Canis lupus familiaris: one gene and its partners. The protein of the gene in region 7 interacts with the protein of the main gene of each other region in a pairwise test. Links are inferred from orthologs where the notes say so. Each region holds a gene or a part of one and is shown on either strand. Other genes may lie near its edges.

Region 1 (3,946 bases), on a different chromosome or scaffold from region 7:
AGAACAGATCCTCCCCCCAATCATACCATGGCAACCCTAAAGGCCCCACCTGCCGTCCTGCCTCCCCCACGAGCCCCAAAACCTTACAACCCCACTTTCCTCTTCCAGGACCCCCCCAGAGCACCATCCAAGGGAGCACCCCAATACCTCAGCCACGCCTACCATCTCTCCAGTCTTTCTGCCCCCGTCTCTAGCTCAGCCCACAGCTGGGGAGGGGAGGGGAAGGCAGAATTGGGGCAGACACGGGAAGGGCAGGTGGGGGGGCTGGAAATGGAGTTAAGGAAGTAGCCACGGTACTTGGGGAGGCCAGATGGGAGCCACAGACCTGGAGGGTGGTTTGTACTAACGGTTTGGGGGCACAGGGTAAACTGGTTTGAAGCGAGAGAAATCATGGTTAGCCTGCTAGAAAGGGCCTGATAATGTGGCAAGATATATGTATGTGGGGAAGGGTCTCACAAAAGGATATTTACTTCTTCAAGAGGCGGCTGGAGGCTCATCCCATTAGCCAAGGTGGCTACAAAATTCTAGGAGAGAGTAACAGGGAGAAAGGATTAGCTACTGGGAGTGGCTAGGGGAGGGCCAGGCCAGGGGACCCCAGCTCACAGGGGAGGGGGTGTTTCCTGCAATTTTCTTTTTCCTTGGTGGGGAGTGGTGGCAGAGGGAGTAAAGAGGCAGGGCTGTTTTCAAAAGGGGGTGGGAAAAGTGGGGGGAGAAGAGATGGGGTTCTGTCCCAGCTACGGCTGGAGAGATGGTGGCCCGCCCCCACGTTGCCCTCTCTGGCCAGGCACCTGACCATACACACCTCCCCCATCCAGGCCAGAGGAGCTGGCACCCGCCAGGCACACAGGCACTGCCAGCTGTCACTCCCCCTCATCATCTAATCCCCCCCAGATTAGGTGACACTTCCTGACACACACACACACACCCCCATCCCAGGGTGCCAAGAGTAGCTGGGGGGGGGGGGGCGCTGGCAGTGTGTACCCACTGGGCATCTACCACCTTTGCAAACAAGCCTCTTGTCTAAGAGGATTCCAGAAAGGAGGTGTGGCACACAGGCACCCCTACCAGAGTTGGCACCCTGACCCCTAGCTCCTGCCTTGGGCTCAGGAAGCCCCAAACAAAACCACCAGCTGGAGCCAATCTCCAAGCTTCGTTCCCTCTTCCCAGGAAGGTAGAGTCCCAGGGAGGAGGCCAAACTCTGGCCCCTCAAACCCATTGACACCCATCCCAGGGCCCAAAGCCCCTGGGGTGTGGGGCCAAATCCTGAGGCAACCTCTAAAAGAGATATTTCCTCCACCCATACAGACTCTGGTCCAGGAGAGAGCCAAGGGGGATGGAAGTCATTGGAGTGACCCCTGGGGGCCGCTGGCCCCCAATGCTACAAGGTAAGAGGAGGGATCATGCAGGCCCCATCAGATGACATCTCTTCCGGATATGACCACTCTCCAGGCCCCTCAGAAGCACGAAGTCACACACAAGACCCACTCAGCTCCAAGCCCCGCCCCCATTCTCCCAAGCCAGTGAGGACACCTACAAAGAAGGGTGACGGGTAAGGGGATTTCCCACTGGGACCCATTTCTCAATACCACTAACACCACAGCCGAGCAAGTCCCAAGGGAGCTTGAAACAGCACCGGAACCAAGCCCACATGGCTGCACAAGAATCAAACTTCTCAGGACACCATCTCAAGCCTCCAGGCTCAGGACCCTCAAACAGGGCTTCAGAAAGGGGGAGGTCATCTCCCACCTTCGCGTATCTAGGCGCCGAGGAGAGAAAAGTCTCCAGTAGGAGGTAGCTTATATTCCCCCACAAGCTCTTCCCAGCAGAGACTCTCCCTCCCCTAGCCCGGGAGGGCTCCAAAGGGGAGGTGGGCTTTGGGACACGCCCCATGAAAAAGATGTCCCTCCCACACACCCAGAAATGGCCACAAGGGGGTGCACGACGCCTTATCGGGAAGAATCTCCTTCAACCAGAGGCCCCCCCACCACCCGGAGGGAGGTCACAGGGGCATGCCCCATCCCCCCAGCTCCCAGAGCCCCGGGAAGGGGGGAATCCAGGGACAGGAAACCGGGGGCCCGGAGGGAACCAATCCTTCCTCTTCCTCCAATCCCAACCCCTGAGTCCACGAAACCTGGACCGAAGCCTAAGGAGATGCCGCGGTATCGGGAACGGGGTTGTGGAGGGCCGAGCTACACTGCCCCTCCCGAGAGACTCTACTTCTCGGAGGGACAGAAGTGAGCCCACGCCGAGGGGTACGTCGCGATCCCGGGGGAAAGGGCAGGGGGCCTCCGAGGGAGGGTCGGAGCCTCCTCTCCGCCCCCCCCCCGGGGCGCCCCTCCCCCGGCCGGGGGCGGGGCCTTTGTCCCGCACGTGGAGCCCGTCGGGCCACCGGGCACGGCACACCCCCTCCCCACCCACCGTGCCGCGGCCACGTGGGGGCCAGGCCGGAAGCGCCCCCAGCCCTCCTCCACGTGGGAGGGGGCACGACACCCTCGGCTCGACAGAGTGCCGCAGACCCCCGAAAGCTAGGAAACCCGAACCTCTGACTGTATCCCGCGATCCGCAGCATGCGGCGTCCCCACCGTACGGCTGAGAACCTTCAGCCCCAATCCGCCCATTCGGGGCCCCTTCCCCACGACGGAGGCACAAAACATCGACCCCCAAACCGCCCCCCACCCCCGGCAGCGCTCCAGGCGCTCACCTCCATGATGCAGTTCGCGGCCTCGGCTGCCGCCATCTTCACCCGCACCTACTCCTCCTCCTGCCGCCGAGACCCCCCCCTTTCTCCGCACTCCCCCGGGACCGCCTTATACCGGAGGGTCCACGACCCGCCCACCACGACCCCGCCAGGAGATTTCATTGGCAACGGAGGCGGCCCGTCTGAGGATGTCGCTTGCTAATTGGGCAAAGAGAGACGCCCATCAAAGCTGAGGGGCCCGCCCAGTCTGGTGTGCGGAGCCCCGCCCCCTTAAGTCGACGGGGATGGGAAAGACTGCCCGTCTATCGCAAGAACCGTGACTGCTGATTGGGCAAAGTCTACCAGAAGTTCCCGCCCCTGTCCCCCCAGCACCGCCTCAAAGCTTCCCGGCGGGCCCCGCGTTAAGCGGACATCTTGAAAGGGAGCTGTCCATCATCAAAACAACCCGCCTCTTAATAGATGCTATTGGTTTATCCTGAGCGTGACGTCATGAAGCCTTTGCACCGCCCCCGTCAAGCTGCTGGTCTCAAGGAGAACGCGGCGATTGGCCCATGAGAAGGGGAGGAGAGACGGGCCTTTAGGCTCCAGCGATTGGCTCAATGAACAGTCACTCCTCAGCCACTCGGTGGATTCTCCCAGTCGCAGGGGAGGGGGGGGAAGTTCAGGAGGAAGGAGGGAGCTTGTGGTCATTTACCTGAGGGACAGACTGGAGACCTGAGAGGTCCAGAGAAAAGGAGGGCTTGTCTGGTGTGCGGTGCAAGTCAGCAAGAGGACTCAGGCCTCGAGACATATAAGCACCTAGCCCTCTACCTAACTTCCGAGTTTTTTAAATCCAACAACCCCACTCAAGCCACTTGGCCTTTGCCGAGTCCCTCCCCCTGCTAAAAACCCGCACCTCCCTTTGTCTGCCGACTCCTATATATCAGCCGGGGCACACCTTCGATGCCACCTCCTCCAGGAAGCGTTCCTCCTCTTACAGGGACCCATGATAAATTGAAAACATCATAAACTGAAAATGCATTCAAATTTAATCCACCTAGGGCGCCTGGGTGGCTCAGTGGTTGATCGGCTGCCTTTGGCTCAGCCATACCGGGTACCTGGGATCAAGTCCTACATGGGCGGGGCTCCCGGGGGGCTCCTCGCAGGGAGCTGCTTCTCCCTCTGCCTATGTCTCTGCCTCTCTCTCTGTGTCTCTCATGAATAAATAAATAAAATCTTTTAAAAAAAATCAGTGAAAGAATGCACAAA
Region 2 (3,923 bases), on a different chromosome or scaffold from region 7:
TCTAGTGACAGACCCACAGCAGAAGCCAGCCTGCCAGCAGAGGGCATGCTCAGGGACAGCCGACCTCCCCAGGGGGCAGTTTGTTTCTAACCAGGAAGCAGGGCTCAGTGAGAGCTTTTTGTGTGCTGGAAGGAACACAGGGGAAGGCACCTGCCCCAGCTTCACGCTCCTTCCGTCACTAATCTATTGGTAGCTCGTTTCACTGAAACTTTGTTATGAAAATCCAGGTAGACGTGGACTGTTTTAGGTATTTTTTCCCAAATGTGGATTTGAAGGGAAGGTCTGGGCTAGGCGTCGTACCACTGTGAATTCATGAGGGTGGGATGGATGGCAAGGTCCCCAGAGCTAGCCACGGTGTGGGCACCACTGGGAGGGGACCTGGATGAAGCCTGCCTTGCACCCCCAGATCTGCCCAGCAGCCAACACTCAGCACCCCAGGCTCTGGCTGTGCAGAGGAGCCTCTGGTTCCCAGCTCTGGACTGCAGCTGACTAGTACGAGAGAAGTACAAAGTTGGCGAAGCCTTTAATGGGGTCAGGAAGGCAGCCAGCTGGGGGACGGGTAGCACAATGTCCTGCACTTCCCTTCCCGGCCGGACCAGCTGCAGAGAAAGGCCTCCTCATGGTGCCCAGCAGAGGGCAGGGCATCCACGCCAGCCCAGGGCCCCTCAGGCATAGAAGATGAGCTCGGGGATCTGCCCACCCTGGACCCCGGTCCCGTTGGTGCTGTCCGAGGAGCACTGGAACTGGAAGGTCACCTTCCCACACTGTACTTCCGTCATGCCTTCCTGCCCGAAATAGCTGAGCTCGCTGCCATCCAGGACGGCACTGGCTGTGTAGAAGGTGTCCTGCTCGACCTGCACGGGGTGTTCAAACCACACCGAGAAGGTGTTGCTGGAGCCGTCCGACACAAACTTGGTCAGGTTCTGAGCCAGGACCACCCCCAGCCGTTTGAGTTCGATCTTCACGCTGTACTCGGCTTTCCCGGAGCTGGACCCGTACAGGCCCAGCCCTGCAACAAACACCCTCCTGTCCACGGCAAACTGGATGCTGTCACAGCGCCCACGGTAGCGCCACTGGTTGCTGCGGTAGGCAGAAGACTGGAACCGGTGGCACCGCTGCGGGGCAAGGCCCTTCCTCTTGGTCAGGGGGAAGTTGAGGAGGGGCTTGTTGGATGCCGTGTACCATAGGAAGATGTCGTGGGTCTCCTCCAGGGTCAGGATGTCCGACTGGGCTGCGCCGTTGGCAAACTCCTCCAGGGTCATGGTTGGAATTCGGACCAGATAGAGGGCAGGCCCCAAAACGTGCCTCTTGTTGCGTGGGGTGACCGGCAGGCCCTGCCTCTTGCACTCGGCTTCAGCCCAGTTCAGGACGGCCTCGAAGACCACTGCCTCCTTGGCGTTGAGGGCCTCCCGCGTCACGATGATTTCCAGAGTCTGCCAGTCGATTTCGCAGAAGCCTTCAGATCTCAGGGCCATCTCGGCCTGAGCATCAATGACCTCCCAGCAGCGCTGGGTCAGCTCCGGCTCCTCAAACAGCCGGCTCTGGGACAGCAGGACACAGGCGTTCTTGGCTTCCAGGCTCGTCTCCAGGAAGTTGACACAGGCTTTTGCTAGCGCGGGGACGATGTACTTCTTGGCGGCGTAGAGAGTGGCCAGCACCGTGTCGGCCTCCAGGTCAATCTCGTCACTGTACATGTACCTAGGCAGGGTGGGGGCCGCGTCACGGGCTGCGTGGGCCCTGCCGCCGACCCGGGCCCGCAGCGTTCCCGCCTCCCCGCCTCCCCGCCTCCCGACCCGCGGCTCCGGGGCACACGCACCTCAGCAGGATCAGGAAGGCCGCAGGCTCCACGTCGGGGATGTGGATCTCCGACTTGACTTCTGCCAAGTCGCCGTAGAACATGGCATAGAAGACGGAGCTACCGACGGCCAGGACGTACTGCGGGGAGAGGGAAGCTGCCCTGAGCCCCGCCCCGCCCCGCCCCGCCCCGCCCCGCGGAGGCCGAGGAGGGCCACCCCGGGGTGCCGGGCGGCCGGGCCGCGGCTCGGCTCACCTTGTGCGCGGGCACCCTGCGGGCGGCTCCCGGGGGCCCCACGATGAAGTGCACGTCGGCCATGAGCTCGTTGTTGAACATGAGCGCGTTCCTGCGAAGGGCAGAGGCAGGCTCGGGCTCGCGGGGGCGCGGGCGGGGGCGCGGGCGGGGGCGCGGGCGGGGGCGCGGGCGGGGGCGCGGGGGCGGCCGGGCTCACCTCTCGCGCAGGGTCGGGTGGAAGGACTGCCAGTTGGGGCTCTCCAAGTTGTTGTTGTCGGGCGCGGGGGGCGCGGGCGCGGGCGGCGGCGGGGCGGGCGGCGGGGCGCTGGGCGGGCCCTTCCTGCCGGCGGCGGCGGCGGCGGCGGCGTTGGCGTTGCTGTTGGCGATGTCCGTGGCGGCGGCGGCGGCGGCGGCGGGGTACAGCTCCGCGGCCATCTTCGCGGGCAGGGCGGCCTCCGCGCGCGTCGGCGGCGCCCCGTGCACCCTCGCGCCGCGCCGGGGTCGGGGCCGGGGCCGGGGCCGGGGCCGGGGGGGCGGCTCGGCGAGCACCAGGAGCGCCGTGAGGCACTGCGCCACCCGGCCGTGCAGGCAGGCCAGGGGCAGCAGCATGGGGCCGCGGCGGGCGCTGCTGCCTCGGGCCGCCCCGCCCCGCCCCGCCCCGCCCCGCCGGCGCGCAGCCCGAGTCCGAGCCCGAGCCCGAGCCCGAGCCGCAGCCCCAGCCGCAGCCCGCAGCGCGGCCGCAGGGGGCGCCGTCCGGCCCGCCCTCGCCCCTGCCGCCGCGGCGCCCGCACGTCACGCCCGTCACGGCCGGGCCGGCCCCGCCCCCCGCGGGGGACGTGCGCGCTCCCGGCCCTGCGTCCCGGCCCCGCCCCCGCGCGGAGGGCGTGCGCGCTCCCGCCCCTGCGTCCCGGCCCCGCCTCCCCGCGGGGGGGCTGGGGCGGGGCGGCAGGTGCGCAGGCGCCGGCGGGAGCGAGGGGGCGCGCGGCCCCGGGGCGCAGGGGGCGCGCGCGCTGGCCCGGGCGCGGCGCTGTGGGGCGTCCAGGGCCCCCGCCCGGGTGCGGGCACGCGCACGGCCCCTCGCAGGTCGCCCCCGCCCGCCGGGCCCTTCCCTGCCCTCCCCGGCCGTGCGTCCGGCGGCTCCGGGGCCTCGGGGCGCAGGGTCCGGTGCGGGGGCTGGGCCGGCGGGTCCCCACGGCGTCCGCCCCGCGGCCCCCACGGCCCTGGGGACCCGGAACGCCTCGGGGTGGCCGCTCATCTCTGCTCCCTTCTGGGAACCGAGACGGGCAGAGGGTGCAAGGGCCCAGAGCGCAGCCAGGTGGGCCCCGAGCCGGGGAGGACGGCTCAGCAGTCCCGGCCCCGGGGCTCCCGGCCGCCCCCAGCCTGGCCCGCCCCCTGCTGGCCCCCGCCCCCGCCCGGGCAGGGCCTTCCCAGGTGACCCCGCCGCGACGCTCTGCTGCGCTGTGCCCGAGGCTGGCAGGGGGAGGGGGCCTGCGCGCGCCCCCGGGTCCCTCCGGAGCCCTGCCTTGCCGACTAACGTGGCCGCTAGAGACGCGCTCCCGCCCGCAGACGAGGGCAGAGTCCCACCGGCAGATGCAGGCGGCAGACGGGGGGAAAGGCGCTCGCCGTGGGGCGTGTGTACAACCTGCGGCTGCCCGCGGGCTCAGCACCCTGCCCCGAGGCAGCTGTGGGAGGGACGAGGGACGAGGGACGAGGGACGAGGGCGGGCACCCCCAGCCCAGGGTCGGGCAGGACTGGGAGGGGTCGCCCTGGCGGAGGCCCTGCGCCACGTGCCTCCTGGGCCTGGAGAGGGGGGCGGCTGCTGCCCCAGGACTCGCCCTGGCCCCGCTGACGCAGTGTGTCTGCCGCAGACCCGTGCCTCTACATCCCCCGCTTT
Region 3 (4,036 bases), on a different chromosome or scaffold from region 7:
CTCCCTAGGCATGTCATTTTGGTTACTGTGACTGAACTACAACACCTCAGCAGATTTCACAAAGATGACCTACTAAATACATTTCTAGCCCATCCCAAGAACTCAAGAAACAACAGCTGGGTACCAAATTACTTTATTTGAAGGAATGATACAAACGAAAGAAGTAGATGTTTCGGTACAACTTATAGAAAAGGTAAAGGTAACCCCAACATGCATGCACTGCCTCGGTGACCAGGGAAGTCACCCTGCGGCTATGGGAAGACAGCCTAAGGCTTAGCTCTCATTATCACTGTTTCCCAGGGTGTGCTTGTCAAAGAGATACTCTGCCATGCCAGATTCGGGAGCCCCCATCTTGCGCAGGTTGGTTACATGGTCACCCAATTCTTTGATGGATTTCACCTGCTCGTTCAGGTAATGAGTCTCAATGAAGTCACACAACTAGAAGACAGAATGGGGAAGAATGTTAACGGTACACTTTCCCAACCCCTAAAGAGGGAAATGACTCCCTCCATTCTCTCCCAGACTGCCAACACTCACGTGGGGGTCATTTTTATCAGTGGCCAGTTTGTGCAGTTCCAGTAGTGACTGATTCACGCTCTTTTCCAAGTGTAATGCACACTCCATTGCATTCAGCCCATTCTCCCAATCGTCACGGTCTGGTTTCTGAACGAGAGGAGAGGAGGTCAGGTCAATGCACGTACAGCCTCTACCTATTATTGCCCAAGTCAGCAAACACCTAACATGCAATCGTTGTGCTTTGGCAAGAGGGACATCCCAGTTTCTCCCACAATGGTTTCCAACTTAACAGCCTTGTGCCCATTACCGTTCACCTCCTTCAACTTAGAAGATAGGCTTAAAAAAACACAGAAGCCAAAAGTACTTCATTTTATAAGAGCAACTGCTAGCTTGAGGGATTTCTGACACCCAAGGACTTGCCGGATAGATGAGACACAGGATCTAAGATGTTTTGTTCACCTTAATATCCTGAAGGAAGATTCGACCACCTCGTTGGTTCTGCAGCTTCATCAGTTTCTCAGCATGTTCCCTCTCCTCATGAGATTGGTGGAGAAAATATTTGGCAAAGTTCTTCAAAGCCACATCATCGCGATCAAAGTAATAAGACTGAAAAGAGAACACGAACATGTTCTGTTAGGAATTGCCAAGCCTAGCCTTTCTTCCTCAAAGTCCAGCAAGAAAGGAGTCTGCACTGAAGACCGCGGACAGGCTGTGCTCTTGGACAGAACACAACACTAGTCTGTACTCTAAAACACAAAAATGAAACGCAGTCCTGGACATTTAAAGTTTACTGCAAGGAACCTTTAGAATATCATAGGGAATTGCCCCCAGCAGATAAATTCTTAAAGCCCTATATGAGAGCAAACTTCTTCTGGCCAGTGTCGCATTTGATTGGAGAGGGTGTGGGAGTATTTACCCTGTACTCCCTAACTCCCTGATTAAACCCATGTTAAAACATGAGCTTGCCAGCTTACAGCATACTGACGGATCTCTAAGATTAACCCATTAGGCAAGGTGACAACTGCTGGCAACGCTAAGCTGTACAAAGAAACTGCCAGCAGAAAACAGAAAACTTGATTCCGTTTTTAGACACTCGCTGAATCCAGGTGTTCCTGAAATGGAATGGCAGTCGCGGAAATCCAGGCCTATTTTCAAATTCATCTGGAACAGGTCTATTCTTAGATAATTTGCACAATCGTAAGGCAATCCTTTTTCTTTTTTTTTTTCTTTTGCAATCCTAAGGAAAACGCCCACCACACCGCCTAAAACCAGGATTTTGGAAAATGGATTCCATCGATCAGCACGGAAAGTTTCCTTGCCCAGTGACTGTTGGTGTAGTTTATTCTAAAACCAAGGGTTCAGCCACAAAAGGATAAAGTACTAAATGCCCGGGCAAGAGGACGGATGACTAAGACAACCGTGTGCGCAAAAGGGGAGATTTCCCTGCTTCAAGTGGGACTGGGCGATAAGCAGAACAGAGCGGGTAGCGATGGCTGCTCCAGAGTGGTCGGCCCCCGGGAGATAAGCCACTGAGCACCAACCCCCGCCCCCAACGGTTGCTATTCGACACCATTACCCAGCAGGCTCCGCCAGTCGCAGGGAGGACGGGGGCTGGACCACTTCGCCCCCGTCACCCAAGCAAAAGGACAGCCTCGGGGCCACGTGATCGACACGGAGAACAGGATGGAAACGCACACCCCGCTTTCCTAACTGCAGGATTGTGCCGGTTGCAGCTGCCGCAAGTCGGGGATTCCTTGAAACCAGGCTCTCTCTAAATACGAAGCGGCGCGCAGAGGCGGCCCTTGACTAAGAGGGAGCCCTCCCAGGGGGCCGTCAGAAAGGCCGAGCCGGCCAGAGTTTCTGCGCACGTCCTGAGAGGCCTCGAGCAGCGTCCATTTTCCAGCAGGGCGAGCAGGGGCGGGAGGGCCCAAGCGTCAGCCACACCCCCGCCCCGCCCCGCCGCCCGGAGCCCGGAGCCGAGCGGCGCTCACCATGGACAAGTAGACGTAAGACGCGTAGAGCTCCAGGTTGATCTGGCGGTTGATGGCGGCCTCGGAGTCCTGGTGGTAGTTCTGGCGCACCTGCGAGGGGGACGCGGTCGTCATGGCGGAGGCTGAGGAGAGGCGGCGGCGGCGGCGGCTGCGCGGCGCTGGGGCGGCGGCGGCGGAGGCCTCGGGGCGGTCCGAGAGCGCTGCGTGGAGGTGGCCGAGGGCTGGCTCTGAGCGGCGGGCCCGGGGAGGGGAGACGAGCGCCGGGTTCCGTCCAAGCACTGTTGAAGCAGGAAGCCGCGGCGACTCTCGGCGGAGACTGGCGCAGACCGCCGAGGCCCCGCTCTTATAGCGGGATCGGGCGTCACGCCCACTCCAGCCAATCAAGACGCCCGCCCGCGCGCGGAGCCCCGCCTCTTCCGGCGGGCGCGCGACCCCGCCCTGGGGGCGGTGGGGGAGGGGCGGCCCCGCGCGGGCTGAGGCGGCGGGCGTGTGGCCGCGCGCGGGGCGGGGCGGGGCGGGTGTCCTCGGCGTCCCGGCTCCCGCGATGGGGGGGGGCGGGGAAGAAGTGCGGTCGGGGTCGGGCGCGGAGCCCCGGCGCCCGGGGCTGGGAGCCGCCGGCACGTGTCCCCTGAGCCGTCCGGGCGGGCTCCCCGAGACATCCTGCCCCGGGGGCAGGTTAAAAGTCCGGGCGGCGGGGCAGCAGTTACCACACCCGGGGGGATCTCCTCGGGCGTCACCTGGAAAGTGGCAGTGGGAGCCCTAGGAGGTTGCGTCAGTTAGAGGTGGGGCGGGAGGGGCTCGCTCTCCCTTCCTCAGGGTCCGGCCGGGAGCGACACGCGGACGGGCTGGGGTCCCGGGGGCCGTCCCCGACCCTCGCCAACATGGCTCCCGGTGCAGCTTCCCCGACAGAGGCTGGGCGGGCCGTGGTTCCCGGGGAGATGCGGTGAGCGGGCGCCTTCGAGGGGGAGCCGTGAGGGACGAGCCCCCGGGGCTTCTGAGAAGATCCGGGGACGGGTTAGAAAAGGGAGGAGAAGCCACTGGGGATCTGGAGACGGAGCCATCTTGGAACGGCTGCCTTGGCGCACCCGGGTCAGGCCACAGCCGGCTCAAGCTGAGGAGATCTCCCGGGGAGCCACCTCCTGGGGCTGCCCCTGCGGAGCGGCCGGTGGGCACAGTGTCCACGGGACCGGGCAGGGCAGGGCAGGGCCGCCGAGTCCCTTCCTTCCAGGCGCCCGCCCTGTCGGCCGGCTTCCAGCTCCACTGTTCGCCACCAGGTCCTTCCGCACGGCTGGGAGACCTCGCCGAGGCCCTTTGGACGCTCACAAACATGAAACCTTAAGCTGAACTTCGCAACCTCAACAAAAAGAAGGCAGGCTCTAAAATGTTAAAATTCGTTGCTGACGGAATTCTGGTGATCTCTTTCTTGGGTCTCTACTGTTTTCGTTTCGGAATGAACATTTTACCTTCAGGAAAAAAAAATTTTTTTTAGGTCTAAAACTACAAAAATAAAATAAAATAAAATAAGCAGA
Region 4 (3,500 bases), on a different chromosome or scaffold from region 7:
CCAAAGACAGCCAAGCCACATTTTACTTCTATGCAACCTTAATTTCCACTGTCCCTAAAACCCAGGATGTCTGAATGGCTTTGTCAGCCACCCGTCAACTCATGCCATGACCACATTGCTCTTTCACTCACGGGTCGGAAAGCTGTACATTTCTCTCTACTGGGTAACAGGGTAGTGGGGGTGAGGGGGGAAGCAATAAAGGTGGAATGCTGGGAAAAGGAGAAAGTATAGAGTGTTGGTCTGGGATGACATGCATTCAGGACTTACTTCCTAAGACCTGAGGGGTAATGCCCATGCACACAGCGTTTATTCCAAGTCATAAATGTTGCAGGTATAGAACCAACAAAGCAACAAGTCATTCTTCCTCTTTCAATCTCCTTTCTATGACTTCAACAGTGCTCCTACAGCGACCGTGATCCAAAACCAGGGCTGCAAAATACATTCAGTTCAAAGACTTAATGCTTCTTAGTTCAATGTTAAGTCCAAACCCCGAGAATCCACTAATGACGGGTAAGTAGAGGGGTGTGATCCTTTTTTAAAACCCAGATGAAATTCACATGCACAGGTCCCTTGTGCCCAAGTCAGCGTGATATATTTTTTTCACTTCATATAGAAGTCACATGAATTTGGGATCCCCGATCTCAGTGACAGCACTTTGCATTTCCAGTGGGGTCTATATAAACAGTTTCCTTGCACTTTGACAGAATTCTCAGCCGGCAAATAAAAACAAACTTGCATGATACCGCGATACTGAGACCACCTTAGAGCTTAAGACGATTTTTAAGAAAAAAAAAATACTGGCACAAAATTTAATAAAATAGATTTTAACACAAAAACAGTTTGGGCCCCTCTCCATTGAAGTCCATCTTTGTTTCAAAAGTCGAGTCAAAAGTAAATAGTCCTTGTTTTTTAGTGCATCCCCCACACAAATGTTTTATCCCACCTCCCTCTTTTTTTTTTTTTTTTTTTTTTTTGCCCTCCCAGACCTTAAAACAAAAGCAAGGTAATTGCCTTTCATGGGTCTCATGACTCCTGATGTCTCAATTTCTTTTGCTAATAGATCCATAACTCAAGACACATTTTTTTATGGATGATTTTTAGAAATAATGGTACACATTCGTCTCCTCCTCCCTTAAGCCAGATCCTTCAAGCTTCTAAGAAGACCCTTCTCTCTCTCTCCTGAAAATTTGCTCAAGAATTTCTTGTCCCACCCACCCCACAAGTCCTGGCTCTCTTTTTTTCCAACTGCGCACAATTGATTATAGCTGCAGCTCATTTAGCTCCCACCCCTGAATGTAAAAAAATGAGTTCTGGAAAATTAAAAATAGAATAACAATTAAAAATTAAGAGTCCGACCGACATGGTTGTTCTTCAAAATGTCTCAGCAGAGTTTCCCCGAGCCCTGTGGTGTCCATCACTCGTCGGCATCGGGCTTGACGTCCAGCATGGCGTGGAGTTCCTCAGGCGTGTAGCCCAGGAGGCTCTGCAGGTCACACACAAAGCGGTACACATAGCGTTTACCCGCTGTCTTGTGGATGATGTTTTTGTCATAATAGTAGCGTAGGCCACGGCTCAGTTTCTCATAATTCATCTTAGGTTTGTTTTTCCTTTTTCCCCATCTCCTGGCCACCTGAAATTTAAAAATAAAAAATGAAAAAGAGACAGGGTAAATACCTATGGGATAATCCAAGTACATATGTTTATTTGCCCCCATATCCCGTCATCGTGACCCATGATGTTGTTCAGGTAAGATGGCTTGAGATTCAAGTGGATGGAAGATCTTTTTCTCACCCACTTATTCTGAATTCCAGTTTTCAAAAGAGCTGGGCAAGAATGCTCAAAGTAATGAAAATATATTGACCTTGTGTTTCTATATAATAGAGTTAAGGTGCCTGATAATGGGGGGAAAAAAGATAAGCAACACTATAGACTCTCCTCTTTCCTCATGTTGTTGGTAGGATACCTTCGCTCTGCAAGCATGAAATTTAACGTGAGACAGTGGGGCAGGGCTAAGCTGCAGTCATGCCTGTGTTTCATCAAAGGGAAGAATTTTTTTCTACACCAGAGGATCCTATCTTCTAGTCAGCCAGACCCGAGATGTTGTCTCTCTTGGTCGGTGTTTTCAAATCTGTCGTGCTCAGAATGGGGCAGGGCACAGAGCAACCGCTCCACATGCATTTGTTGAATAAAATCATGAATTAATGAACAGATTGTCCTGGTCTTCCAAGACCTCTTGAATTGTCCGACCCCCTTCTAGATTCACAGGGCCATGGGACCAGGACAAGTGCCAAGTCAAAAAAGGCAACCCGTATTTATGAAGGCTCGCCATGTGCCAGGCATTTCTTATGTATCGTTTCCATGAATCCTGGGAAACAAATGGGCAGTGTAGATATCTTCTCTGTTGTCCAAAGGATGCAACTCAAGTCTCAGGCAGGCTTTGTCACTGGCTCGAGGTCATACAAGGACCAAGGGGCAGAGGTGGGGCTGGAATCCCAGAAAATGTCATGCAGGCCCACATCACCACTTTCCAGAGTTCACTCTCATCCTCCTCCAACACAGGGCTCTCAAGCCACTCCCCTCTTACCTCATCTGGGTCAGAAAGCTTGAACTCCCAGCCATCTCCTGTCCAGCTGATAAAAGACTGACAGGATTTATCAGTGAGTAATTCCAGAAGAAACTGCCACAGCTGGATTGGTCCACTGCCTGGAAACACAAGCCATTGTGAATCATTACACCAGATGCTCAGCACTGCCAGCAATTAATCCCATTATATAGCACTCCTCCTGCCTCCCCTCCAGTCCATCCAGCCCCGAGAGAATGAAGGCAGCACATAGCACAAATGTTGGAGGAGGTGCTATGAGTTCAAAAGGACTGCAAGGTGGAAAACTTCCTATTGGGGAAAAAAAAACAAAAACACAAAAACCTTACAATATACCCTTGTCTTATCAATATTATTTTGACTGACTCCAAGGTCAGTCCATGTCTGCTGCTATGCAAACCCTAGAAAGAAAATTATTACTAGATGAATCCTCTGGGATATCCTAAGGCAGCACAATCTTTTGTGCCTTCAAGCACTGACTCATTATTTTTGCCTTAACTAGGAATAAAGATAGTAACTAAGGAAGATCTTTGCCAGTTCCAATCTGAAGTCCAACCCCAGAAATGCTTTTCTGTCTTAGCCTCTGGCCCCTGCTTCGTCAGTGACAAGGATCCCTATGCTGGGGTCATCGAACAAGGACACAGAAGTTAGATATTCTTTCGGTCATAAGGTCATAATACTCTCCACCACCATCCCGTTCCCCACCAGGCCCACTCACAGGCAGGCACCCAAGCTAAGAAAGGAGGACGCCATCACTCTGTAAGGGATTCACCTGCCCCTCCACAAAATCCTCAGAGGTCAGGTGAGGACCGTCTCAGACATCATTTATGGGTTCAGTATATTCTAACTTATGTGCACACACACACAGTTCTCTTGTCTTAGACATCAACACTGCCAAGAT
Region 5 (4,222 bases), on a different chromosome or scaffold from region 7:
AAATCCATGGCCTGTGCTGCCTTCCCAAACAGCCACCTGCTGCCGTGCTGGAGGCAGAAATCAATGTACCCAGATGGAAAAGTCCCCTGAACGAGACCGAGAACGCGATCACCAGCCCAATGCAGGTGTTATTTTAATACATTCATCAGACCCTCTCCTCAGACCCGGGTGCTGGGGACAAATCTGACAGGCTTGCAACTCCATTTTAAAAACCAGACTTCCATGGAGGGTTCGCTTGAACAAAGGGAGCTCCAGCTAGAAGTCTGAAAGACACTGATCTGCTCCAACAATATCATCTTACAGAAGAGGAAACTGGGCCCAGGGGAGGAAGTGATTTTCCTGAGGTCGCCCAGCAAACTGGTGGCAAAGATGGACTCAAAATTCACTGTCACCTAACCCAAATGCTTGGTCTCCTTGCTACACCCTGGGTCTCTTTTGGTGCTTCCTATAGGGACAGTGTGATGGCAGATGGCTATTCTCACTGCCTGGCTTCCCCCCTGAAGCCAGGGATGAGGAAAGTCACCAGGTCAGTATGTCAAATAGGACTACCCTTGACTGAATGCTTATCCCACACCAGGCCCTAAGGGATTAATATAAAAACAACATCAATGGGGCATCTGGACAGCTTAGTTGGTTAAGTGTCCGACTCCTGAGTTCTTCCGGCTCAGGTCATGATCTCAGAGTCATGGGATCCAGCCAGACATCAGGCTCCGTGCTCAGCAGGGAGTCTGCTTGAGGATTCTCTCTCCCTCTTCCTTTGCCCCTCCCCCTGCTCTCTCTCAAATAAATAAACCCTTAAAAGAAACAAAAAAAATCAACCATCTCATTCCAGTGTCACCAGTGTTAAGACATTATTACCCCAACTTTATTGATGGGGCATATTCCCAGCAGAGGGAGAGGTAGGATTCAAATCCGTACCTGACATCTCCTCCACAGTATCAACCACCACCCTCTACTGCCCCTCAAACACCCCTGGCCCCAGGAACCTGGCCAGCCAGTACTCACATCCTCAGGAGAGTGACAATCATTGGAAGTGGTAGTCTCAGGGCTACTGCCATTTTTAATCTTCCTTTTCTTCTTTGCTCCTACACCAGGGCTGTTCTTCTGCTGATACTCCCTCAACTACAGAAAGGAAAATCAGTGGGGCTCATGAGAACTATAAACCCCTGTATTCATGTCCAACTTTGTAGTTTACAATATACTCCCATACTCGCCATCTGACTTAATGCCACCAACAGCCCTACAAGGTGTTGTAATTCTCAGTGACTGCAGAAATAGACTGATAACATGACTAAGAAAAGAAAAGGCAATAATGGAATTTAAACTTAGGCAATAATGGAATTTAAACTTAGTCTTCTGACTCCGAGTTCTGGGGTTATGCCATGAAATCAGCAGGTGCCAAAAGGCAAAACCAGAGGTGGAGGTGGAAAAGGTGGGAAAAATAACATCTGAGTAATCTGACTTTAGAGTCCTTTCCTACAAATCTGTTAAAGCTGCACATTGGTATTTATCAAACTTTTATATCAACGTATCCTGATGGCAGAAGGCAGTAAAGGCACACACCTAGTGAATGTGGAAACCTAACAGAAAGAGGACAATCCAAGCACCATTTCAGAGAGAAGTCTATCATAATCTTACAAATCTACACAAATGTCATCCCTAGTACATTACTATAAAAGGATTTTTCTTTCTCAAAAGAATCAAGCACAATTGATGCTTCAGTTCTATATTATCCTGTGGCCCTCAGAACACTCCATGTTGAGATGATGATTTGGGGAAGATTCCCACCTATGAAATTCAGGTTCCAGAGATCAGTTCCACAGAGGATAAGCAGATCTCACTCCAAAGAGCACTGATTGATGGGGGGGAGGCGGGGGGGACTCTGGTCCAGAATCATAAGGAATTAAAATGTGAGGTAGAGAATTCAGATTTAATATGTGAAAGTCTTTCTGGACAGTAGAAACCTAAAAGGAAACCATACCAAAGAAAACACACTCTCCCCATTGTCACCAAGGTGTTATCAATGTTCCATGATCACTGGTGTAGTCAATGTTTAAGGATGGGGTACAGTCTAGAGTAAGGGCTCCTGAAACCTCTCCCACCTAGGTCCCATAGTCCCCAGTCCCCTTCAAGCTGGAAATTTGCGCCGCGACCGGAGAAACCGGAAAGGGTATGAAAACACTGGGAGACTGGGTAGTAAGACCAAACACCGGGGCTCCTGGCGCTAATGACAGTTCCGAGGGGGATTGTGACGTAACTACATTCCCCTCCTCCCTACCAACGCCCGAGTCGCCGCTCCGCGGTGGGGGAGGGGAAAGCAGGGCTGGGACCGAGGTCCCTGGACACCGGGACCGGCCTGGAGAGCCCAGGTCCTCCGCTTCTGGGTGGCAGAAGGCTAGGGCCAAACCTGGAGCAGGGAGCCCGGGGAGTCACCAGCCCAAAGTCACCGGGGGCGGCGGGCGAGGGCGGGGGCTGGGCAGCCGGGGGGCGGGACTGGCTGAGACGACTTGGGGTGGGGGGCGCCAAGGGGCGTCACGGGGCTAGCCCCGTGTGCCTCAGGGGCAGCAAAGATTCTGGCCACGGCCCGGCCGTCCGAGGGGCCTTTGGCTGGGTCAGGGAGCCGCGACCCGGCACGTTTTACCTTTTTCTTGGCCGCAGCCAATTTGCTCTGTCGGGTTTCTTCCGACATCCCGGGACGGGGAGGGGTAAGGGGGGTGGCCACATCACCGCGATCCCGGCAACCACCGCGGCATCACTTCCGGCAGTCACCGCGCCGGTGTGCGACTGAGCCAGAAAGGGAGGGACCCTAGAGTTTCTAGGTAGCAGCTGGTGGGCGTGGCCTCAATGCTCCAATTCTATTGGCTGGTGAGAAAGATGAACGGGGGAATGGGCGTGGTCAGGTTGCCGCGAGCGGGTGGAGTGACAATGAAAGCTGCGCGCGCAGCCTCTGGCCCCGCCCACTTCGGGGCGGGGGCGGGACCTGGCTTTGCAGGTTGCGCGCGCATTTAGCCACCCAGCCGTCGGCGTCTCCGTCCTAAGATTCCGAGTACCTGGTGGGCCAGAGGGGCCGCTCTCCCGCCCCGCCCTGGACCCTTCTGCACTGCATACTCCCCCGAGACGGGGGCCCCGGACCCCAGGGCTCCGGAGGTGGGCGAGGAGCGGATAGCAGGGCGAAAGCGCATCCCTTCACAGTCCCTTTCCTGACTCCCCATTGCCGGGCCTCAGACTCTGGTCCCAGAGATCACTTCCAGAGACCCCCATCTAGCCCCCCACACTCCCTGCCCTCATCTCGGACCGTATCTGCCCCTCCCCAACTCCTTACCTCCCACACCCCCACGTAACCCTCTCCTCTCAGAGCGGACTGACTCTAGGTTCAATCAGCCTTTTGTCTTCGGATTCCTCTCCAGGACTCAACCAGGACTTTCCCAAAGTTGCCGCGGGGCCTTCCAATCCCCTGTGAGTATGCCTGTGACCCCCACCCCTTTCTCTCCCTCCGCAGTGTGAAGTCAGTGCTGCTCCCAGCCCTCCTCTCCATCCCCAGCCCCCTTCAAGTCTTCCCCCAGCACATCTTGTTCTGCTGAGGAACTCCGGGTCATTTCTCAGTCCTTCTGCCTTCTTTTCCTCCTGCCCACCAAGATTCAAAGGAGAAGCAGTGTCCTGGCCTTTGCCTGTGGTACCCCAGGCTCCCCCAGTAGGCTCTGTCTCTCCTCCTTGCCGGGAGCACCCTGATCTCCTCCCTCACCCACCACCCCACACAAAAACCACTCTCATTCCCCCAGACGCGCGTGCGCTCTCGTGCCTTTGCCATTTGAATATACTGTGCGCTTCTGGAATACTTCCCTTGCAGCTTTTTAGCAAGGTGATGCCTGCTCATCCTTCCGGGTTGAGAATCCCCGAGAGGAGCCTCACTCACCCCCACTTCTGACTCGGTCCAGTTGCTCAATTAGACACTCCCTTAGCACACTGTACTTCACCTAAAAAGCACTTTTCAGACTTGTTGTTAGTTGATTAATTATTTGTCATTCATTCATTCACTGGACACCTTTTTATTGAGTGCCTCCCGTGTGCCAGGCACTGTTGGGGCACAGTGAACAAAACACAGTCCCTGCCCTCATGGAGTTCATACTCCAGTGGCATGAGGCCAACAACATATTATCAATGAAATGTATATGTCAGGTGGTGATAGATGTTTTAAAATATCAGGACAAAAGAATAGTAAGCC
Region 6 (3,500 bases), on a different chromosome or scaffold from region 7:
CCTTAACCAGGGAATTTGGCTAAGCGGCGCCGAGCCTGGGCCAGCCGCGCCAGCCGCTCCTTCAGGAACTTCCTCTTGTCGCTGGTGTCACTGCGCTCCTTCAGGAGCCAGCTGTAGGTGTCCTTGTCCTGGAGCAGCTGCAGCATGCCGTTCTGCAGCTTCTGGCCGTACACTTGCAGGATGAAGTACTGGATGATCAAGGGGATGTGGCTGGAGATGCGGTTGGTGGCCTCCTGCCAGGGAAGAAGAGTTCACAGAGGTTTGGTGGGGGGCCGGACCTGGCAGGTGCAGGTCCCCCCTGCCCGGATCTCTCGAACCCAGCACTGTCCTCTGGGCTGGAGGCAGCGGGGAATCCACAGTACAGGGGGGACCCCCCCCAATCCCGGCCCTGACTCCACCTCCCCGCCAGGGATTCCTGACCACTCGGCTTCCTTCTCTGATCAGAGACGATAAAATGCGCGTGAAAAAGGTAAATGGCCGGATGGGGTAAGAAAACTCCATTTTCGATTTATTTACAATTCCACTGAAAATATTTTTTTTAATCAACACAAAAATTATTTAGCAGAACAGAGGCTGGGCTGTGAAAATCCACAGAGGGGAACCCCCTGCGGGGCCTGCGTGTCCAAAGTCAGCCTCGCCACCCCCACCTCCCTCCCCAGGCCCCACCTGCCCCTGAAACAAGCCTCTCTTTCTTGAGACAGGCTCATCTCTCGGGAAGCCGATTCATCCCGGCACCCCAGCAAGTTCAGCCTCACTATTCTCCAGGAAATACTGAGGCTACGCCTGGCCTCGTGAGATGGTTAAAAAAGGATTAAACAAGCTGAAACACCAAAGTTTAAGAAGATGCCAGGTGCAGAATAAGTGCATAGTGAATGCAGCCCGAGGGGCGGTGCTGGGACACATTGCTCGTGCCGGGGATGACAGCTAGCGAGGGACGCCATGGAGGCGGAGGGAAGGAGACGAGGAGCCAGCAGCCGGGGCTGGGGCCCCACGGAAGATGATGCTGGAGGATGGCCACACAGAGGACCACGCAGACCGGCCACATTTGCAGGAAACTAGCTCCTTGGGGACGGAGGAGAAGTTTCTGAGTGGTGACAACAGGCGCCCTGGACCCCTGCCCTGGCCCTCCCCAGGTCCCACAGAGCCGGGCCGTCGTGCCAACCGCTGACCCCAGGGACATCCCCTCCACCCCCGCGATTTCACGATGAGCACACCAGGGACAGGGTCGGCTGCGGGGACACCGCATCCTGACCTCAGGACGGCACACGCTCTCACACCACAAAGGGGAGTAGAGGATGCAGGTGCAATGAAGATCGTTAGCTGCCGTTAACCTTAGGGAGAGCATCCGGATGATCTGCAGGGCCCAGCGCAGAGGAGGGAGGCAGGCAGCGGATTGGGAGGGGGTGTGGTCGGGAAGGAGGTCCGCGAGGGGCAGCGCCGCTGGCATCGTGTTCATTGGGAAAATACATGAGAATTGGCTGCAAAAGTCCCACAGGAGAGGGGAGCGTCCGCAAGGGCTTGGCGTGTGAAATAAGACGCGGAAACCGTATCCAACAGCCAGCAAGACACGGTGGAAGAAAAGGCTCACAGCGGGGACAGACGCGAGGAACCACGTGGGAACAAACTTCACAAGTGTGCACGGTCGACACCAAGACAAAACACACCAACACCTCTGGGCCCCCCACCCCACCCCACCCAAAAAGGAGATCGCAAAGCGGAGAGACCCATGAGGCTCTTGGACAGAAATCTTTCCTGTCACAAAGATGTCAGCTCTCCCCGGCACAGCGACAAAATGCACAGGATCGCCAGGAGGATGCCAACAGCTCTCTTTTCTCATCAGGAATGGGGGTGGGGGTGGGGAAGCTCATTCAAAAATTCATACCGAGGCTGGGAGGAGCAAGAACTGGGGGACGTTTCTGCCTAAAAAAGACGGCCACAGCGGGAGTCCTGGGTTGGAGTCCCACATCGGGCTCCCTGCATGGAGCCTGCTTCTCTCTCTCTCTCTCTCTCTCTCTCTGTGTCTCTCATGAATAAATAAATCTTTATTTAAAAAAGCAAACCAGCAGAATTCAGGTTCTGGAAAAAGACTCCAGGACAAAGAGGGGGAGGGTGATTGACAGGGGCCCATTGCACATCAGTAGGGCCCAGATGGGATCTTCAGGGACGCGTCTGGGCCCACAGGGCTGAGGGCGAGCTGCCGGCTGGCGGTGGCCACACAGACCGGTGGGGGCGCCAAGGGGAGGCATTTCAAGGAAAGGACACGGCGTGAAAACCGCCACTGGGAGACGCTTGCAGACTCACCTGGCGGTAGGCCAACAGGTGCTCCAAGATTTCAGACAAGGAGATGTTGACGGAAGAAACCTCGTCATGGCTCATGCTGCTGGTCTTCTTCTTCTTCTCCTCGTCCGAATCCTTCTCCCTGACCCTCTGCAGGGCCCGCTGATAGACGTGGTCCTGGCAGTAGACGATCTGCTCCATTTGGAAGTGAAGTCGGATGGACTTCTCAGCTTCTTTCTCTAGCTCGAATTTAATGTCTTCGATTTTGGACTACGGCAAAAGAGAGGCAGGGCCGCGTTCCCTCAGAAACAAATCCCCGGGTCGAGGAAGGAGGTCCCCCGCGAAGCCCACGGCTAACCGGCTCCCGTGTGAATGAGGACGGCACCTCCCTTTGAGGTCTGCACCCCACGCTGGCCCATCCAGGCTGGTGCCCCCACCCGGCCAGGGGTCACAACCTCCCGGGAGCCTGGGGCCGCAGGTGTGCCCAGACCGCGACCCCCCACCCCTCCGACCTGAGCCTGGGAACCCGCACGGGCCCTGCGTGCCGACCTGATTTCTCAGATTCTTTCTTTCTCTTTTGGGATCTTTTCCATCTAATCAGGAGTTTTAATCTAATCAGGATTAGATGGAGCCCCATCTAATCAAGGGGTGCCTGTGGGGCTCAGTCAGTGAAGCATCTGCCTTCGGCTCAGGTCATGATCCCAGGGTCCTGAGATCGAACCCCGCATCCGGCTCCCAGCTCAGCGGGGTGTCTGCTTCTCCCTCTCCCTCTGCCCCTGCTTGTGTTCTCCCTCTGTCTCTCAAATAAATAAATAAAATCTTAAAAAACAAACAAAAAAGGAGTATATACCCATCAGAGAGCTCACGGGGGTCAAAGTGGGGTCAAATTTAAATCCATTTAATTCTGTACGATTCACATTCCTATAGTTTAGAGAAACTGGCTGCCCCAAGGCCGGGGAATAGGTCTCTCATGCAGAAAATATCTGGTGTCCCCGGAGCTCAATGGCGGCCACCAAGTGTGATGCAAACTGCTAGGTGCACCCCAAACATTTTCTTCCATGTTCCTTCCAGAGGCCCAGGCAGCTTAAGTGACACGCCCCAAGCCCCCCCCCCCCCCAACCCAGTCCACTTCTCCAAATACCCAAGAAAGTGAACATGGTCTTAATCCATGGCATCTGTTTTCCAGCATCAGGCTGACTTTTTTTTTTTTTTTTTTTTTTTTT
Region 7 (4,239 bases):
CCTCCTCACTCTTGTCTTGCATCATTGCATATTTGGAGATGACCTCATCCAGCCGGCTCATAGCCAAGCTCCGGTTTTCTCGCAGGCGCCGGGCTAGGGCAGGATCTGACAGTGCAGGGTCAATGCCTACATGAGAAGATATAAAGTCAGAGTACTCAGCCCAAACCCTAGAAGAAGGGACTAGAGAGATGCTCCCTCCACCAAACATCTGACATACAAGGGTTACCAGTAGGCATCTCACTAATCCCTACCTGGCCTGTAGTCATCTGTGAGGTGACAGCCAAAGTTGTAGATGAGATCAAGGTGACGTCGCTCCTGTAACCTGATGCCCACGTCTCGGAAGGCATCCTGAGCCATGAGCTGGAGCTGCTGTCGGGGAAGACCAAGGCTGTGCCGAGCAGCTGCCTTCTCCACAGCCCGCAGTACATCTCCATAGTCAGGGAAGGTATCTGGCCCTGGTTTGTTGATGAGCCGCTCAATGCGCCTGTTAACCTCTGGGTAGCGGGTGCCACGATAGGGAATGCGCTGCTCTATGACACGGCCCGTCAGGGAAGAGCAGTCTTTGAGCTCACAAAGCCGCCCAAAGAGGCGGATCAGCTTACGCTTCAACCTTGCCTCCTGCAGGTATGTGGAGTCTGGGTCGTCCAATTCTGAGAGATCCAACTCTTTTTCCTGCAGCCGCCGGATCTCTGCCACATAGAGCGCTAGCAGCTGCTCCAAGCGCTGGATCTGCCGCCGGGAACCACGGGTCCTTGGTGCCTCAGAGGCAGTGGTCTCGGCATTTGTGGGGTCCGAGGAGGGGTCTGTGGGAGGGTTATTCCCAGAGGGTTCACTAGAGGTGGCAGCAGGGGCCAGGTTCAGCTTCTTCTTGGCTGAATGGGCCTTGAGAACAGTGCAGAGCTCATTAATGTAGACATAGAGCTTAGCTGGCCGGCTCTGGGCCCGGGATAGGACCCGAGAGAGGATGTTGCAGAACTCCGCCGAAGCCAAAAACAGAGAGTGGGCACGCTGCTGCCGGTTATAGAGGAATGGGACCACCTCAGGGTGGTCTGCTGTCTGCATCTTACAGAGTTCAAGGAACTGGAGGTTTCAGGAGAAGAAGGGAGGGGGGAAGAGACAAGGGGAGGGGTTGAGAGAAAGAAGGCAAGGCGGGATTAGTGGGGAAGAAAGGACTACAGAGCCAGTCAGCCATCCCCCTCCCTGGGGCACAAGAATCTTCTCCCCTAAAGCTCACCTCTTCAAACAGCTTCTCATTCTCCAACTTGTAGCATTTCTTGCCGCCAGAACTACTGCTTCCTCCAGCCCCATGGGGCTGGGAGGAGCCAGGGGCTTCTGCCTGGGGTGAGGCCGGATTGGGGGGTGGGTGGGAGGGCCCTGGCTGAGCAGCTGCTTCATCTTCGTCATCATCATCCAGCACGATGATGCTGTTAGCGGTGGCCATGGGGGATCAAATCCCCCGGAGGAAGGAAGTGTTGGGGATTTCGGAATTCCTGCTGGAAGGGGATGGGGCCTCAGAAAGAGCCCCTCCAGCATAGCCCCTCCCTTCATCTCACACATTTTCCAATCTTCTTGGGTTTCAGTAACACCCAGCCCTGCTCAACAGTGTCCTCACTGCCTAACTTCAGCAACCACTAGTACCAGACACTTTTCTGACCTTTCACTACCTGAAACCACCTGAAAACCTTAAGTCCCCACCCCCAGCTCTACCCCTTCTGTCGAGATCCAGTTTCCCCACTATCTCTCATACTTGCCAAGTTGACTTTTCCAATCTCTCGACCACCTCCTGCACGTGTGCACTCTGGATTTCCTCGACATTCCCTCGCACAGATACCACATCCCCGTCAGCACCACCTCACCAGCCTTCCCCCTTTCGCTCTCAAACACGTCAAATCCACACCCTCATCCCATCCTGAAGGATCACCCCCAACTCCTAGACTCTCAGAGGCGAAGGAGGTTCTCTCCCAACAATCCACTCCCGTTTCCCCTCCTGGGATTATTCTCACATTCCACCCTCTGACGGGTCTCCTCAAACCGGGACGTTAGGTTGGAGAGATCTCACCTCAAGTCCCCTCCCTCTCACCCCACCCGAATTCCCCCATTCTCTCTCTGTGACCTGTAACCGATTGTGAGCCCAGTACTGAGCTCTCCGGATTCCTCTCAGATCCCAACCCCGCATCCGACCCCTTCCCCCGAATGAGCTTCCCGCCAAGTCCCCCTCCCCCAGTTCAGCCCCCGGCCGCCCCATTCCCCTTCAGGGATTGGAAGGAAGGTACCACAGCTTGCACCTCAGACTCAGCGCCTGGGACTCCCCAGTACCTCTCCCTCGACATTCCCGCCCCTGCCTTCGCTCCCCGCACGGTCCGGCCCCCACCTCAGAAACGGTCTCTCGAGGCGACCCTCGCTGCTGATCTCAGAACCTCGCAGGGTTCCCTCCGCCTTCCTTCCCCCACCCACCGCAGGCCCTTCTCTGGACCGGAAGTCGCGGAGTTTCCGCCTACGGACACCTAGACGCGGCCATATTTTCGTACGGCGCCCGGCCCCCCTGAGGCAGGAAGTGGCGGTAGGCCCGCCCCCCCGCCCAGTGCCGCCCACAGAGTATGCCGCTCTCTTTCCTATGACCAGTAGAGGGCGGGCTTGTCCCCGCAGGACGTCCCAAAGTACCTGGGGGCCGCCATCTTGCCGTACGGTACTGGCTACGCCCGAACTCGGGGGCGCCACCGACGGAGCTCTTTTCGCCCGGTGCTTCTGCGACTCCACCAATCAGAAACTTCCTGCATCCAGCCCAACCGCCGGCGGGTCGCGTGCTGGAAGGACTGAGCCACCTTTCCAAGTAGGGGAGGGGAGGACGGAACAGGACAGCTAAGGAATTGGGCCCTCCAAGACTGTGCAGGGGTGCATAGGAGAGCGAGAATCTCCTAAGAGGGAAAAAAACCCTCTTCCTTCCGCTGGGCCATTGACCAGCCTTCCGGCGCCGCTTTCCTACCTGCCAGGTACCCTTTCCGCGGCTTCATCTACTGCGCCTGCCCTTTCCTTTCTGCAGGCTGCGCGCTCCCCAGCCGCTGTCCAGCAGCTACTTCTACTTCCCCGTGCCCACACCTCCCAATAGTGAAATCATAACACATGCATACAAACGAGCACAATTCGCTACACAAATTTGTTATTATTATTATTACTATTGTTATTGACTTCGTTTTAAGCGCCTCCAAGGAACTAATGACCCACCCAGCAGGTGAGACCTAGGTGGTTCTCCGTTCCTTTCTGGTGGGGTGCCCGAGGTGCATGCAGTGATGACCTGGAGGCCGTGCCTTGTCCAGGAGCTCCAGGGCCATAGGACCGCGATGTGGGGCGGGGGCTTTGAGGAGAATCTGTGCAAATTGCCGCTGTTGGATGAAATGAGACTTGTAAAATACCTTGAGTCTCCACTGGTCTCTTCCTCTTCCTCTGGGAGAGCTGAGAAAAGAACGGGGAGACAAGAAACTGACTGACGCCCCCTCGCCCACACCCGCACCTCACCCAACTTTAAAGAGGCCGGAAGGACTCGTGGAGGCCACGTTGGGTCCAAATACGAGCTTATGGGGAAGTCACACCGGTTAACACGGAGATTCTCCTCCCCTGCGTCACATTCCACAAGTGGTGAGTATCTTGCCACTTTCTAGGACCACAGAGTACCAGAACCTCAAACCCTCACTGCCATTAAAGAATCCCACACCATATGTAAGCCTACAGTCTTCAAATTAGGGAATACGAAAACTCCCCAAAAGGGTACGCAGACTTAGGAGACATAGGAATTTAATTTACAGATTCTCGACTTTCCCAAAATTGATCTGAGTAAATGCCTGCAAGTAAAGGTTTTCTTTCTTCCGGTTCCCTTTTATAATAGACTTGCTCCCTCTTAAAAAAAAAAAAAAAATGCATGCAAGCATACCTCCTTTTATTGTGCTTCACAGATATGTGTTTTTTACAAATTGAAGATTTGCATCAAGCAAATCTATCAGTACTATTTTTTCCTTTTTTCAAGATTTTCTTTATTTATTCATGAGAGACACAGAGAGAGCTGAGACAGGCAGAGGGAGAAGCAAGCTCCCTTTGGGGAGCTCAATGCGGGACTCAGGGTCACCACCTGAGCCAAAGGCAGATGCTCAGCCACTGAGGCGCCCCTAAAGATTTTATTTTTAAGTAATCTCTATACCCAACATGGGACTCAAACTTACAACCCCCAAGATCGAGAGTCGCATGCTC

The links.
Region 1: the proteins of DAXX (region 7) and PRMT1 interact in a two-hybrid assay, tested with the Homo sapiens proteins (2 studies listed by BioGRID and IntAct). The link is inferred for Canis lupus familiaris from reciprocal best matches to the Homo sapiens genes DAXX and PRMT1.
Region 2: the proteins of DAXX (region 7) and BTBD6 interact in a two-hybrid assay, tested with the Homo sapiens proteins (2 studies listed by BioGRID and IntAct). The link is inferred for Canis lupus familiaris from reciprocal best matches to the Homo sapiens genes DAXX and BTBD6.
Region 3: the proteins of DAXX (region 7) and ferritin heavy chain interact in binary tests that used the Homo sapiens proteins (3 or more experiments, as listed by UniProt). The link is inferred for Canis lupus familiaris from reciprocal best matches to the Homo sapiens genes DAXX and FTH1.
Region 4: the proteins of DAXX (region 7) and ETS1 interact in binary tests that used the Homo sapiens proteins (3 or more experiments, as listed by UniProt). The link is inferred for Canis lupus familiaris from reciprocal best matches to the Homo sapiens genes DAXX and ETS1.
Region 5: the proteins of DAXX (region 7) and GOLGA2 interact in binary tests that used the Homo sapiens proteins (3 or more experiments, as listed by UniProt). The two-hybrid records come from large-scale screens. The link is inferred for Canis lupus familiaris from reciprocal best matches to the Homo sapiens genes DAXX and GOLGA2.
Region 6: the proteins of DAXX (region 7) and MX1 interact in a two-hybrid assay, tested with the Homo sapiens proteins (2 studies listed by BioGRID). The link is inferred for Canis lupus familiaris from reciprocal best matches to the Homo sapiens genes DAXX and MX1.

Annotation. Positions count from the first base shown.
Region 1 is NC_049222.1:107,533,427-107,537,372, forward strand, and holds the start of PRMT1 (protein arginine N-methyltransferase 1), read right to left. Parts: upstream 2,801-3,946; 5' UTR 2,738-2,800; coding exon 2,702-2,737; intron 525-2,701; coding exon 471-524; intron 264-470; exon of another isoform or gene 166-263; coding exon of another isoform or gene 148-165; intron 1-147. UniProt on the Homo sapiens protein: Arginine methyltransferase that methylates (mono and asymmetric dimethylation) the guanidino nitrogens of arginyl residues present in proteins such as ESR1, histone H2, H3 and H4, FMR1, ILF3, HNRNPA1, HNRNPD, NFATC2IP, SUPT5H, TAF15, EWS, HABP4, SERBP1, RBM15, FOXO1, CHTOP, MAP3K5/ASK1, MICU1 and NPRL2.
Region 2 is NC_049229.1:73,012,300-73,016,222, reverse strand, and holds BTBD6 (BTB/POZ domain-containing protein 6), read right to left. Parts: upstream 2,639-3,923; coding exon 2,247-2,638; intron 2,157-2,246; exon of another isoform or gene 2,142-2,156; coding exon 2,051-2,141; exon of another isoform or gene 1,993-2,050; intron 1,936-1,992; coding exon 1,817-1,935; intron 1,699-1,816; coding exon 666-1,698; 3' UTR 501-665; downstream 1-500. Other genes in the region: BRF1 (transcription factor IIIB 90 kDa subunit), read left to right, coding at 3,898-3,923. UniProt on the Homo sapiens protein: Adapter protein for the cul3 E3 ubiquitin-protein ligase complex. Involved in late neuronal development and muscle formation.
Region 3 is NC_049239.1:55,067,097-55,071,132, reverse strand, and holds ferritin heavy chain, read right to left. Parts: upstream 2,801-4,036; 5' UTR 2,622-2,800; coding exon 2,508-2,621; intron 1,123-2,507; coding exon 976-1,122; intron 664-975; coding exon 538-663; intron 439-537; coding exon 274-438; intron 273-273; 3' UTR 183-272; downstream 1-182. UniProt on the Homo sapiens protein: Stores iron in a soluble, non-toxic, readily available form. Important for iron homeostasis. Has ferroxidase activity. Iron is taken up in the ferrous form and deposited as ferric hydroxides after oxidation. Also plays a role in delivery of iron to cells.
Region 4 is NC_049226.1:6,209,505-6,213,004, reverse strand, and holds part of ETS1 (protein C-ets-1), read right to left. Parts: intron 2,704-3,500; coding exon 2,585-2,703; intron 1,631-2,584; coding exon 1,415-1,630; 3' UTR 1-1,414. UniProt on the Homo sapiens protein: Transcription factor. Directly controls the expression of cytokine and chemokine genes in a wide variety of different cellular contexts. May control the differentiation, survival and proliferation of lymphoid cells.
Region 5 is NC_049230.1:55,321,471-55,325,692, reverse strand, and holds the start of GOLGA2 (golgin subfamily A member 2), read right to left. Parts: upstream 2,801-4,222; 5' UTR 2,690-2,800; coding exon 2,642-2,689; intron 1,123-2,641; coding exon 1,006-1,122; intron 1-1,005. Other genes in the region: DNA repair protein SWI5 homolog, read left to right, coding at 2,845-2,865, 2,933-3,147, 3,408-3,456. UniProt on the Homo sapiens protein: Peripheral membrane component of the cis-Golgi stack that acts as a membrane skeleton that maintains the structure of the Golgi apparatus, and as a vesicle thether that facilitates vesicle fusion to the Golgi membrane.
Region 6 is NC_049252.1:35,811,784-35,815,283, reverse strand, and holds part of MX1 (interferon-induced GTP-binding protein Mx1), read right to left. Parts: intron 2,548-3,500; coding exon 2,302-2,547; intron 234-2,301; coding exon 3-233; 3' UTR 1-2.
Region 7 is NC_049233.1:2,912,733-2,916,971, forward strand, and holds the start of DAXX (death domain-associated protein 6), read right to left. Parts: upstream 2,801-4,239; 5' UTR 2,662-2,800; intron 2,518-2,661; exon of another isoform or gene 2,372-2,517; intron 2,366-2,371; exon of another isoform or gene 2,286-2,365; intron 1,494-2,285; 5' UTR 1,442-1,493; coding exon 1,235-1,441; intron 1,081-1,234; coding exon 252-1,080; intron 127-251; coding exon 1-126. UniProt on the Homo sapiens protein: Transcription corepressor known to repress transcriptional potential of several sumoylated transcription factors. Down-regulates basal and activated transcription.